Drosophila melanogaster: one gene and its partners. The protein of the gene in region 2 interacts with the protein of the main gene of each other region in a pairwise test. Each region holds a gene or a part of one and is shown on either strand. Other genes may lie near its edges.

The links. The genes of interacting proteins can lie anywhere in the genome.
Region 1: the proteins of CaBP1 (region 2) and Mzt1 interact in a two-hybrid assay, tested with the Drosophila melanogaster proteins (one large-scale study listed by BioGRID).
Region 3: the proteins of CaBP1 (region 2) and CG18259 interact in a two-hybrid assay, tested with the Drosophila melanogaster proteins (one large-scale study listed by BioGRID).

What each region holds. Positions count from the first base shown.
Region 1 is NT_037436.4:2,387,463-2,390,184, forward strand, and holds Mzt1 (mitotic spindle organizing protein 1), read left to right. Parts: upstream 1-1,802; 5' UTR 1,803-1,873; coding exon 1,874-2,122; 3' UTR 2,123-2,188; downstream 2,189-2,722. Other genes in the region: Svil (supervillin), read left to right, coding at 1,305-1,319; CG32299 (uncharacterized protein), read right to left, coding at 2,259-2,378, 2,439-2,722.
Region 2 is NT_033779.5:16,354,340-16,358,642, reverse strand, and holds CaBP1 (calcium-binding protein 1), read left to right. Parts: upstream 1-1,907; 5' UTR 1,908-2,090; coding exon 2,091-2,103; intron 2,104-2,172; coding exon 2,173-3,461; 3' UTR 3,462-3,757; downstream 3,758-4,303. UniProt on the Drosophila melanogaster protein: Binds to both apoptotic cells and phagocytes and promotes Drpr-dependent phagocytosis of apoptotic cells.
Region 3 is NC_004354.4:18,780,731-18,785,235, reverse strand, and holds CG18259 (uncharacterized protein), read left to right. Parts: upstream 1-1,741; 5' UTR 1,742-1,860; coding exon 1,861-1,940; intron 1,941-2,002; coding exon 2,003-2,523; intron 2,524-2,580; coding exon 2,581-3,322; intron 3,323-3,378; coding exon 3,379-3,460; 3' UTR 3,461-3,971; downstream 3,972-4,505. Other genes in the region: CG6891 (uncharacterized protein), read right to left, coding at 4,042-4,158, 4,232-4,505.

The DNA.
Region 1 (2,722 bases), on a different chromosome or scaffold from region 2:
GGGTGTGGAGAGATGAATAGTTATGAGGTTTTAGGTTTGGCTAGCCAATCTTGGTTTTCCAAAGGGTGCCTGACACTATATATTTAGTTTTATTTACTATCATAAAAGTACGAATGATCCACTTCTATCCCATGACCAACTCACGTATGTTCGCCCCATGCTATTCATCCCTTAGTCTTTTCACCCATTAAAACCATTTAGCATTCATTAAGCCCAATTTCTGCCCCATCCATGGTGCTCGGAATAATCAACAAATTAACTAAATTCCTAGTGGGCGCCTCCATCCCCAGAATAATCCAAATTCCGAAGTTGTGACATCAAGAAATGTCGAAGCGATTTCAAGTGCAGCCCCGGGGAATCTTGGGAACATATTCGAACATTCCCAATCGTCCGCAACCTGTTTGATCCGTTGGTTATCAAAGATATTTCCAAACATGTTCGAAGCGAACCTCATGATGAGGTTGCATGGAATCCATAAGATACAATCCACAAGCTGCTTTGCAGCTACAGCCCAGCGGAATTTCAATTCAGTTCGCGCTCAACTCACAGACACGATGGTCATTCAAACGCGTTAACGAATAATAATTTAAAATAATATTCAAATGATAAATACACTAAAATATGCACTAAACCACGCACTAAACCTAAATCCACGAACTGTACATATTTGTGTAAATAAATAAAGTATAAACAAACAGCGAAGAGAAACCTCGAAATACCAATAGACCGCTCAAGTTCCCATACATTGAGCTGGCCAATCGTGTTTGAAATTATTTGTTTGATCGATTTTGTGCGGTGTGAACACCTTGTAAAGGCATTTGCAAACCTATTGCCATAGCAAGCAAAGTGTGTTAAGCTGGGAAACACCCTCTGAAAAGTTTATGTACTACCCCCTTCGATCGGTCGAATAATAACTACCACAAGACAAGCATTAAGTTTGTGTTTACGTGCTGCTGACTAATTGCGTTTATATAGCCCGACTATATAAAACTGTACAATAAGACACGGCCAACTGTTTTAGTTTGAACGCCTCAGTTAAAGCTGCAAATTGCTTCGCTACCAAGTGAAGTTCTACATTTTCGCAGCGAAAACGTTTTTCAATTGATTTTCATTAAGTGAAAAAATCCCGAGATTGTCTTCTTTTCGGTTTCCAATTGATCGCAATTGCACCAGACCCATAAAACATATATACAAAGTGAGGCTGCATTCCAAGTAGAGCAAGACAGTAACCACTTCATCATCACAACATCAGATGCTGCATAATTAGCATTCGTTGCGTGGAGCGTCGAAAAAAAAAGCGGAAAATGTATCTCATACAGGTGAGGCCAAGCGATACAATGGATCCCCCTCTCACGATTAAGTGTTTGCTCTTACTTATCACATGCTGGCGGCACTGCACTTGCCGACTGAAAAAGATCTTCATTTAAGCGTTTTTTAATTGTCCGCCAGCTGAGATTTTCAGCATTTACAATTCTCCCCTCCGTTTGAAATGACTGTGAGAGGCACGCATCTCTGGCGTATATAATTTGTTTAATTTGTAGCTAATTTATCTTTCCACTTGGCAGCGGGCAGATCGGATGTCGAGCAAATGGGGGGGGGTTCACTGGAGCAGGTGCCTCATTACTGAACTTTGAACTTGAAACGGTGTTACGATTTACAGCTGGTAATGGATTACGGTTAGGCATCGGGGTTCGGGTTAGCAGAACAAATGTGCAGGCCTGAGATTATGAAGGGAACTCAAATATTTTGACATAACCATTAATCATTTGTAAATGATATACATTCAATCGATTGCTTTTGAGTTATCTGTCAGCATTGCCCTAAATTATTTAGAGATTTATTCCGAGTTTATATCAAAATTTGTGGAATAAGTATGTCAGAACAACCGACACAACATAAATCCGACGATCGCTTCACTATCCTGCAAACCTTATCGGATGTAGTGGACTCTGGTCTCAGCAAGGAAGCCCTTAAAATCTGCATCGAACTGGTGGACAATGGTGTCTGTGGTGGAGCACTAGCACATGTAATTCGAACCATTAGAGAGGAGATTCAAGATGATGAAGATAAGGAAAGTGATGATTCCGGAGAATCGGCTGCATCAACAGACTCAACTTTGTAGGAAATGAATATAAAATATATTTTTGTGTTTATATTTTGTGTTTGTTAAATTAAAAGTTCAACTTTCCGATGGTCTGTTTCCGAAATTTGTAAGACGCTGGTTCTTGGACATCCAATTGCATGATTTTTGAAGGCTTTCAAGAAGACTTCGCCACTCTATTTGCATTCATCAAACGCAAGCGACTGGCGTTTCTGAAAACGGTATATGTGCCGGCCATGATAATGAAAAGTTGCACCACTTTGGCTTGATAGTAGGTCTAAGATGATAATGTGTTTAGATAAAAGCTTATAGCAAACCGAAGCAACAAACGACTCACCTGTCTTATATAGATGGGCAATGGAATGTGCGATCGATGAACATGGTAATCCATTCCTCTGAACAGCCAATAGCCCGGCCACGCCCCCAAACTGGCGAAAAGAAATGGTGCTGCAGTACTGTAGGCCTTTTCAAAGGATTGCGAATGCACCAGTAAACGTATCTCCTCGCCAAGATTATGCATCCGAGGTGGGTGGGCTATTGCCTTGGCTGGTTCCTCCTCCTTTCGCTTAAGCCTCGTCGAGAACTTCTCCTTCAGATTGCCGTAATAATTTTGGATGCCCA
Region 2 (4,303 bases):
ATGAAATATTTTCCTTATCTAAAATGCGCCTTAAAAATCAAGCTACATCTACATATTAATAGAAATTCCATTTAGCTCACTAGTATTTATATTTCATTGCTCTTTATGTTATATATACATTTTTATAATATACTTTATACCTTATATATAAAAAAAATTTTTTTTTTTGCTTTATACACTCATTTTTCATTTTTTTATTTTTTATTTAATACATATATATTTTTTTATAAAAGTAGCAAAAAGAAAGTTATTTTTGCAAGTGAGCACACTCATAAACGCCCCACATCTGCAAGATTGAAGTCACTGACAGACGCACATCCTTCGGGAAAGGTGTTTTGACAGGGCGTCAGGCAAGTCAGAAGTGCAGACACAACAACAGGAGCAATGGCAACAAGGGGTTAATATTTATGCCGCACCCTCACCGTAGCGTATCAATAAAAAGATCGCTCCGCTGGGCATTCAAATTGTTTGTTTGATAAGCCAGTGTGGCGAAGTACGAGCACTGAAACGAATTCTAACTTAGTGATAAACCTAGAAATAATAATATTAAGCTAGATTCATCTTTAAATTTAATATTAAACTTATTGCGCAGATATTGTAATAAAGTAATGTGGTGGTTTCTTTTTTATGTGTCTAATATTTATGTTTTATTAGATATTATTTTTTTCAGTGCTGTAAGTTTATCTGGGGCCAGACTCTCTTTTACCGAAGTTAATACAAATATTACGCCTTTTTATGCTGAAAGCAAAAAGTGCAGGCCAAATGTGGCATAAACTTTACTTTTGGAAAAAAGGGTTGGCCACACCCACCGGTTTTGTAGCCGCCCGAGAAGTTATGACATTGTGTCATTGAATCTTTATGTGTGCATTCGATATGCATTAAAATTCAATAATCATAAAAATAACACGCAAAATAAAGGGAAAATCCAGTCCCCCCGACTGAACAGCTCCCTCCAATTAACCCTTGAATGGCAGAAAAGGAAATTGTCTGACTCTGTGTCTTTCTGTGCCAATATGAACGTCACATAAATCTTGGCAACACTACTACTAAGTCGCTATTAAGTAAAATTGACCACATATTTTATCTCATATGCGCACGCAACGAACGTAGACGAAAATGGCGAGGGTCAGGGGTCATTCGAATGTTGGCTGGTGGGTGGGGAGGGCAGTGGGAGAACAAGCTGGAGAGCCAGAACAATGTGCGAGTAAATTAAGCCAAAGCTTCCAGAAAACACAAATCAAACAAAACGTTGGGAAAGGAAACAATTAAAATGGGGAATTAACAAGGTAAATACAATTAAGGATAGTAGGCTGAAATGAAAGAGAGAAAATGTTATATTATATAAAATCATTTAACCAATAAATTGTTTTATATATGTACCTTTGTTTTTTCAATATTCTTAATATTGTTGCCTGTTGCTTACTAAAAATAATGCAGTTAACTTTTACAGTGAGAGAAATAAATAGATAATTTAATCTACCTTAGAGATAAAGAAAGCAGTACATTGGGGTAGTAGAAGTAGAACTTTGTCATTCTACGTCAAAAGTATCATCACTGAAATTTGCAAGTTTTTTGCATTGGTTTTAATGAATGTGTTAAGAAATCAACCTTGAAATAGCCGCCAAATCACACAGTGTTGTCAATAAGCTCATTTTTAACTTATCTGGCAGCTCTGAAGGATTTTTAGAACCAGTCTAAAATACCGAAATATATCGATAGTGGCAATAAACTTCTCGGACCATTTTCCTTTCGTTATTTGTACGTATATATAATTAGAATTACAAATAAAATCACGCCTTTGTTTTTGTAAAAGTATATAAGATTTGGCTTATTTCACATTATCAGCAGTATCCGCATTTGCCGGCTTCTACATCGATAGTCACAAAGTATTGAAACGCCTATCGAACTATCGAGAGTACGCCGCACTCGCAGTGACGTGTACTCTTTTTTTTTAGCAAAATATAAGCCGCATCTCTACACATAGTTTAGTTTAAAAGAGCCTATCGACAAGACGCGTTGATTAAGAATTTGTTGAGATAAACTCGCAAGAGATAGACACGTAAGCGGTTTCGCAAACTCAAAAAAGAAAGATGAGGCAACTGGGTAAGTTTCCGGCCCATGCACGAAATAGACAAATTATGTTAATAATACATTTTCAATACGCCCCCGCAGCGAGCATTTTGTTGCTGGCATTTGTCGTGGGCAGCGTTAGTGCCTTCTATTCGCCCAGCGATGGCGTTGTGGAGCTGACGCCCTCGAATTTCGACCGGGAGGTGCTGAAAGACGACGCCATCTGGGTCGTGGAGTTCTATGCTCCATGGTGCGGCCATTGTCAGAGCCTGGTGCCCGAGTACAAGAAGCTGGCCAAGGCATTGAAGGGAGTCGTGAAAGTGGGCTCCGTGAATGCCGATGCGGACAGCACGCTGAGTGGCCAGTTCGGTGTACGTGGCTTTCCCACCATCAAGATCTTTGGCGCCAACAAGAAGTCGCCCACGGACTACAATGGTCAGCGAACCGCTAAGGCCATCGCTGAAGCCGCTCTGGCGGAGGTCAAGAAGAAGGTGCAGGGTGTCCTGGGCGGCGGCGGTGGATCGTCTTCCGGCGGTTCCGGCAGCTCGTCCGGCGATGATGTCATCGAACTCACCGAGGACAACTTTGACAAACTGGTCCTGAACTCCGACGACATATGGCTGGTGGAATTCTTCGCCCCCTGGTGTGGTCACTGCAAGAACCTGGCACCCGAATGGGCCAAGGCCGCCAAAGAATTGAAGGGCAAGGTTAAGTTGGGCGCCCTGGATGCCACCGCGCATCAGAGCAAGGCCGCCGAATACAATGTGCGTGGGTATCCTACCATTAAGTTCTTCCCTGCGGGCTCCAAGCGAGCCAGTGATGCCCAGGAGTATGATGGCGGACGCACTGCCTCGGATATTGTATCCTGGGCCAGTGACAAGCATGTGGCCAATGTGCCAGCACCCGAACTCATCGAGATTATCAATGAATCGACTTTTGAAACTGCCTGCGAAGGAAAGCCATTGTGCGTCGTGTCCGTTCTGCCACACATTCTCGACTGCGATGCCAAGTGCCGCAACAAGTTCCTCGACACATTGCGCACCCTGGGCGAGAAGTTCAAGCAGAAGCAATGGGGCTGGGCCTGGGCAGAAGGTGGCCAGCAGTTGGCCCTGGAAGAGTCGCTCGAAGTGGGCGGATTCGGCTATCCGGCCATGGCTGTGGTCAACTTCAAGAAGATGAAATTCTCCGTGCTCAAGGGCTCCTTCTCCAAGGACGGCATCAACGAGTTCCTGCGCGACATCTCCTACGGACGTGGCCACACGGCGCCTGTTCGCGGAGCCAAAAAGCCGGCGATTGTGTCCGTGGATCCTTGGGACGGCAAAGATGGCCAACTGCCCACCGAGGAGGACATCGATCTGAGCGACATCGATCTGGATAAGGACGAGCTGTAAGGCTGTGAGGATCGGAAATCAAGACTGTGCGGCCCAAGCTCAAATTTCCACTTATTAAACTAACAAACACTTGCATTCTGAATGATATTCATTAGTCAGCCATCGTATCTAAATATAAATAACTCTTAATTATCTTTTAGCGTTTTTCTACAATCCTCACATAGATCTAAACGAATCGAAACCAACGATCATATAAACTATGTACCACAAAATGAATAAACTGTGCAACAAAACGTGTAAATTCTGGGCAAGTGTTAATCGGGTTCGGAAAAGCGCGTTTCGTGCTTAGCGAGTTTAAAAAAATGCATAAGTTGAATTTTATACAAAGAAAAGAATTCTTAATATCCGTAAAATTCAGTTTACATTTTCTTCCTTATGGAAATGAGTTTGGCTTATGAATAGATCATTCTTCAGTTATTTCTTTGAAATGAATCATCAAATATGCTTGTTTTCTTCAAAAACTCAATAGCACCATCACATCCAAGAATCAACAAGTGATATACATATTAGTTTTTTATGTATTCCAACGTAGCGCTGTATAAATATAAAGTTATTGTAAATCAATGAATTTAATATAGAATACAGAAGAATTAGTTCATTACCACCCCAAATTCCAATAAAATGTGTGAGAATTTTACCGTTGGGTGAGGTAAAACCATTTATTTTATGTAAAACTCACATAAAAATGTCCAAAAAGATTTGTATATAAACTTTGATAGACTTAATGCTATATAACGTCTAAAAACGTTTTTTTTGACACAATATATAGAAGGATACTCATGCTGGTCTAAATGCACAAACTGAAGATTTCTTAAATGTATTCGTGGCGGCAGATTGGCGCT
Region 3 (4,505 bases), on a different chromosome or scaffold from region 2:
AACTGGGCAGAAGAATTCGGAGAACTCAGCTAGATGAGCTGTTGCTCGAAGTAGTGGGAAAAGCCTCGGGAAGCTTTCCCAAGTATAAAAGCGATCTAGAGGCGACGGTCAATGATTTGGCATCTGTGCGGCAGCTCAAAGAATAGCACTATCCTGCAGTGGACTGGACGAGGATACGATAGTAGAGGAGCATCAACAGGCCCTTGGGAGTAGAGCTGCACTGTTTTGCAGACGATGCGGCAATTACAGCAGTCGCCAAAACAATTGCAGAGTTGCAGGACAAATGTAACACCACGATTGGAGCTGCCGTCCACTGGAAAGCCGGGCTAGCAATAGCGGCTCGCAAGACCGAAGCAGTAAGTACTAAGCAGCAGGAAAAAGGTGGAGAATATGCTAGTCCTCTGTCAATGCGACACAGGTGACCTCCCAAGAGTCCCTCAAGTACCTGGGTGCTATGATAGAACCACGCGAGTTACGGCAGCAAGAATGCATCAGTCACAGTTTCTTCATTGGCTAGACTGGTGCCCAACATCGGTGGTCCAAGCTATCTGGCCAGGAAACTGGCTTCGCTGCTGTACGCTGCACCAATCTGTAGCAATGCTACAAGCAGGGGTTCATACCTGAAAGGAGCCATGGCCCTCAGGCTCATTAGAGGATTCAGGACAATATGTGAAGACGCGGCACTAACTCTGGCAGGCCGCCAATTGATCGGAGATCAAGGCTCTCGGCCTAAAGCGGGGTGGCGCTTACCGACGAGTGGCTGTTGGGTGAGTGGCAGAACAGGTGGTCTTACCAGCTCATTCCTGAGTCGGCGGTTTGGGCAGAGTGCCAACACAAATGCTTGGACTACCACCTAACCCAGTTTCACACGGACCATGGCTGCATTCGGGCCTATCTACGTCGATTGTTCTGCGTCATTTGTGAGAAAACAGAAGAGCATGTGCTAATGCACTGCTCCAGGTTTGCGATGGAGAGGGAGCAGCTAAAGACGAAGTCAGGTGCTCCGTTCAGCCCTAGTGGCTTGTTCGCAGCTATATTGGCAAAGAGCGAGGCATGGGAGCTGGGACACAGTCTAATCATTAAAATGATTAAACGTGTCCGATCAGACGAGATGGCCAACAGAGAAGGTGGCTAAACCCGAACAGGTGTCCTGTGTGGTGGCGAGTGAAGAATACTACCTGAGCGTTCCCGGCTTGTCGTAAAAAGCGACTAAAGGGTGAAAAGAGGCGCACTCATGGCCTACACTGAAGGAAGAGAGTGTGAAGCCAAATTCTGTTCATCGAAGTCATACAATGGCAGTCCCGGTGAGCGTTCAAGGACTGAAGAGCACACGGAGGTTTTTGTTTTAGTATGTGGTGTTGTTTTTGTTGTTGCGCAGGTATCAGTGTTACCAGACCAGACGTCGGCTAGCACCTAAGCGCGATTGTTCTCGGTTGTGCGAAGGGGCACACTGTGAATTAGTGACTCGTAATGTCAGTGGATAAAACGTATTATGTAGCTTAATATATCATTGACAGTTCTGAGAATTTTCAATCTTCTACAAACTAATGTTAAGACATGCAAAAATTGTTTTTGTAAATGAACAAGTAGTTTAATAGTATTAATCGTATATTTGTATAAGTGTTAGTATATTGCTGTTTCTTTTTTACATTTTATATCCAGAATAACATAGATGTTTTTAAGCGATAGTTGCTATCGATAGTGCTGGACGATAGTTTGCCACCCCAAGTGTCACCAGTGAAACGCCAGTCCTATTTTTTTTTTACGAACGTAGTTCGAATAGTCAGGATAATTTGAATCTGGTTGTTTTTACTTCACACATAGCTTAGGAAAAGGTGTGAAAAGCGTATACTGTGAGCCATGGACATCGATTTGAGTCTGGACGAGATTATAGAGCGGAAGCGCGGGCAACGCGGCTATCGTCCCCTCGACAGAAAGTTGTAAGTACATTTACAGGACAGCCGAAAAAATAGAATGTCACTCAATGCGTTTTCCATTGCAGCAATGCGAACTTCTCCAAGCCGCGCCAGCTGCTGAACAAGCCTTTTTTCAAGCCATCGGGTGCCCGAGGATCTCACTCTGATACGCCGGCAAAGCGCACCTTCGATGCCAGAAACACGATCGCCGCGAAGACACGGGCCAAGATAGCCGATGCCCGGGATCTGATCAACAAGAGCGTGCGCGACTCGGGCATCGATGCCCGCCAGCTGTTGCTGGAGCGAAAGAAGGCCCGTTCGGCGGGCCCAATACTTATTGATGACGAAGAAGAGTCGTTTGAGCCATCACATCGCGCACGCGGAAAGGGAGTGCACATCGGTCAGTTTGGTCACCGCCTTAGCATGTCAAACCATGCGGACGGCACCATTCAGGCGAAATGGGACTCGGACGACGGGGTCGTTGAACTGGGTAACCACATGTTGTCCGGCTTGCGTCGAACCTTTGACCCCAGATCCCATAAGCCGGGCAAACCCTTTGCTCCACGACGCTATATTGATCTTGATAATATGCAGGACCTCGAGGATGGTTAGTTAGTGCCTTTCTCTGCCAAGCCGTTCCTAAAAAGCACTCTTCTACTTTCAGAGGAAATATCTCGCACACTGCACTTAGGGCAAATGAAGCAAGCGTCGCCACGCTACTCAATTGGTGGGCTCGACCTGAACCGCGGCGACGACGTGGAGATGTCCATGGCCCCACTAAATAACAAAATAGATAACAATGCATTCTCCATTTACGAGGCGGCCCGCAATCGCATTGAGCGTCCTTCGCTGACCAACCGACTCGTAGTTGGACGCTCAAATACCACCAAGGAGCCTCTCGAGCGCCGCCACCGCGACACAGCAAGCACAAGTAAACTCCCAGAATCGCTGCGGTCTCGTCTGTTTGTCGGTAAGAGGGATCCTCACATTTCTCATGGCATCTACGCCAACGAGAACCGGAGAAAGGCTGTTGGTGGCGGTGGTGCTAGGGATAGCGATAGCGGTACTGATAGTGATGGTGATGCAGCTGCTCCATCGAAGAACAAGCGCCGTTCGCCATCCCCATTGTCGCTGCGTACGTCGAACACAAAGGATGGATACCGCCTGCTGGTGAGCAATCTGCATACTAACGTGACTACTGCGGATATTCGCGAGCTTTTTAGCGACATCGGCCCAGTGTACGACGCTCGTGTGGTGCGTCCCGGCACCGCCGAAGTTATTTACAAGTCACTGGAACATGCCGAGAAGGCCGTAGATACCTATCACCATCGTCAGTTCGATGACCAGCCCATGCACTGTGTGCTGGTTAATCCGCACTCCTCCCGTCGCTCGGTGCACAAAGCCAGGTGAGTGATATGCTTTAAAGATACCAAGCAGTATTGTTCAACGTTCTCGGCCGTAGCTCTCGCACCGTGACCACAAACTCGTCTGGCGTGGAGGTGGACATCGATGCACTTCACTCGGTACTCTTCAGGGTCCGCTAGGAAGCGAGAGGCAGAGCCCGGGAACTAAAGCAACTAGATAATTTTTCTCATCATTTTCATCATCTCCGTAGTATTTAGTTCAACAACGTAGTCCATTTTCATTTCGCGCTTATTAAATTCGAATCGATCCATCCAGCGTATGTTCAGAAAACCAGACTAGTTTAAACGAGAACATTTCTTTACTATAGAAACTTGAATTTTCTAATGCAAATTCTGGCATATCTGTCCACTTCAGTATTCAGTATTAGGTGGCTAAAATTTTTGTCTTATCATCAAAGTAATTCATCAGTCCCACTATATACACAATTAAATGTATGGCATTGATAATGATTTTGCATCCGCTCTTGAAATTTGGTATTGAAAACTTTTCTTTTACCTTTTTTGAATGACACTATGGATTATGATTATACGATAAATAAGAGGACCCAGTAATGTTACAATTGCTTGTATAATATTTCATAAAATGTACAGTTTTTAAATTTCATAAAATTAATTCATAATAATTAAAGAGAAAGGAGCAGTTTGGTAAGCAGTTAAGAGTTGCAAAAAAAAATGTATATGTAAAGTAACTTGGAGGCCGCTTAGTTATCCCGGATGCCCGTTCCGTAGTTGGCGCCGCCGGCACGGTTCAGTGCTTCACGGAAGAGCTCAATGTCCAGCTCGGCCTCCACTCCCGCCTGAAGTTCCACGGCAAAATTCTGCAAGAGATTAGAGATGAGAGGATCTATTTCTGCCTCTGGGCTCTGGCATCTCTAGCTATTGGCTACTCACGTTGAGGACATCCTTGATCAGCGCCTTGTCCGTGGACATCTTGGCCCTCTGGATGACGCCCACCTCCTGCCCGATCCACGTCAGGAAGATGAACTTTTTGCGCTTGGACATCTCGTCACCCATCTGGATGCGTATGTAGCCAAAGGCGCGCTCCGAGTCGCCGAACTGCTGTCGGAATTCCTCAAAGCACTGACCGCGCGCATGTACAATAATCTGGGCGCCATCGAACTTGAATACCGCCCACTCGGTGTCTGTCAGATCGGAGCGTACATCC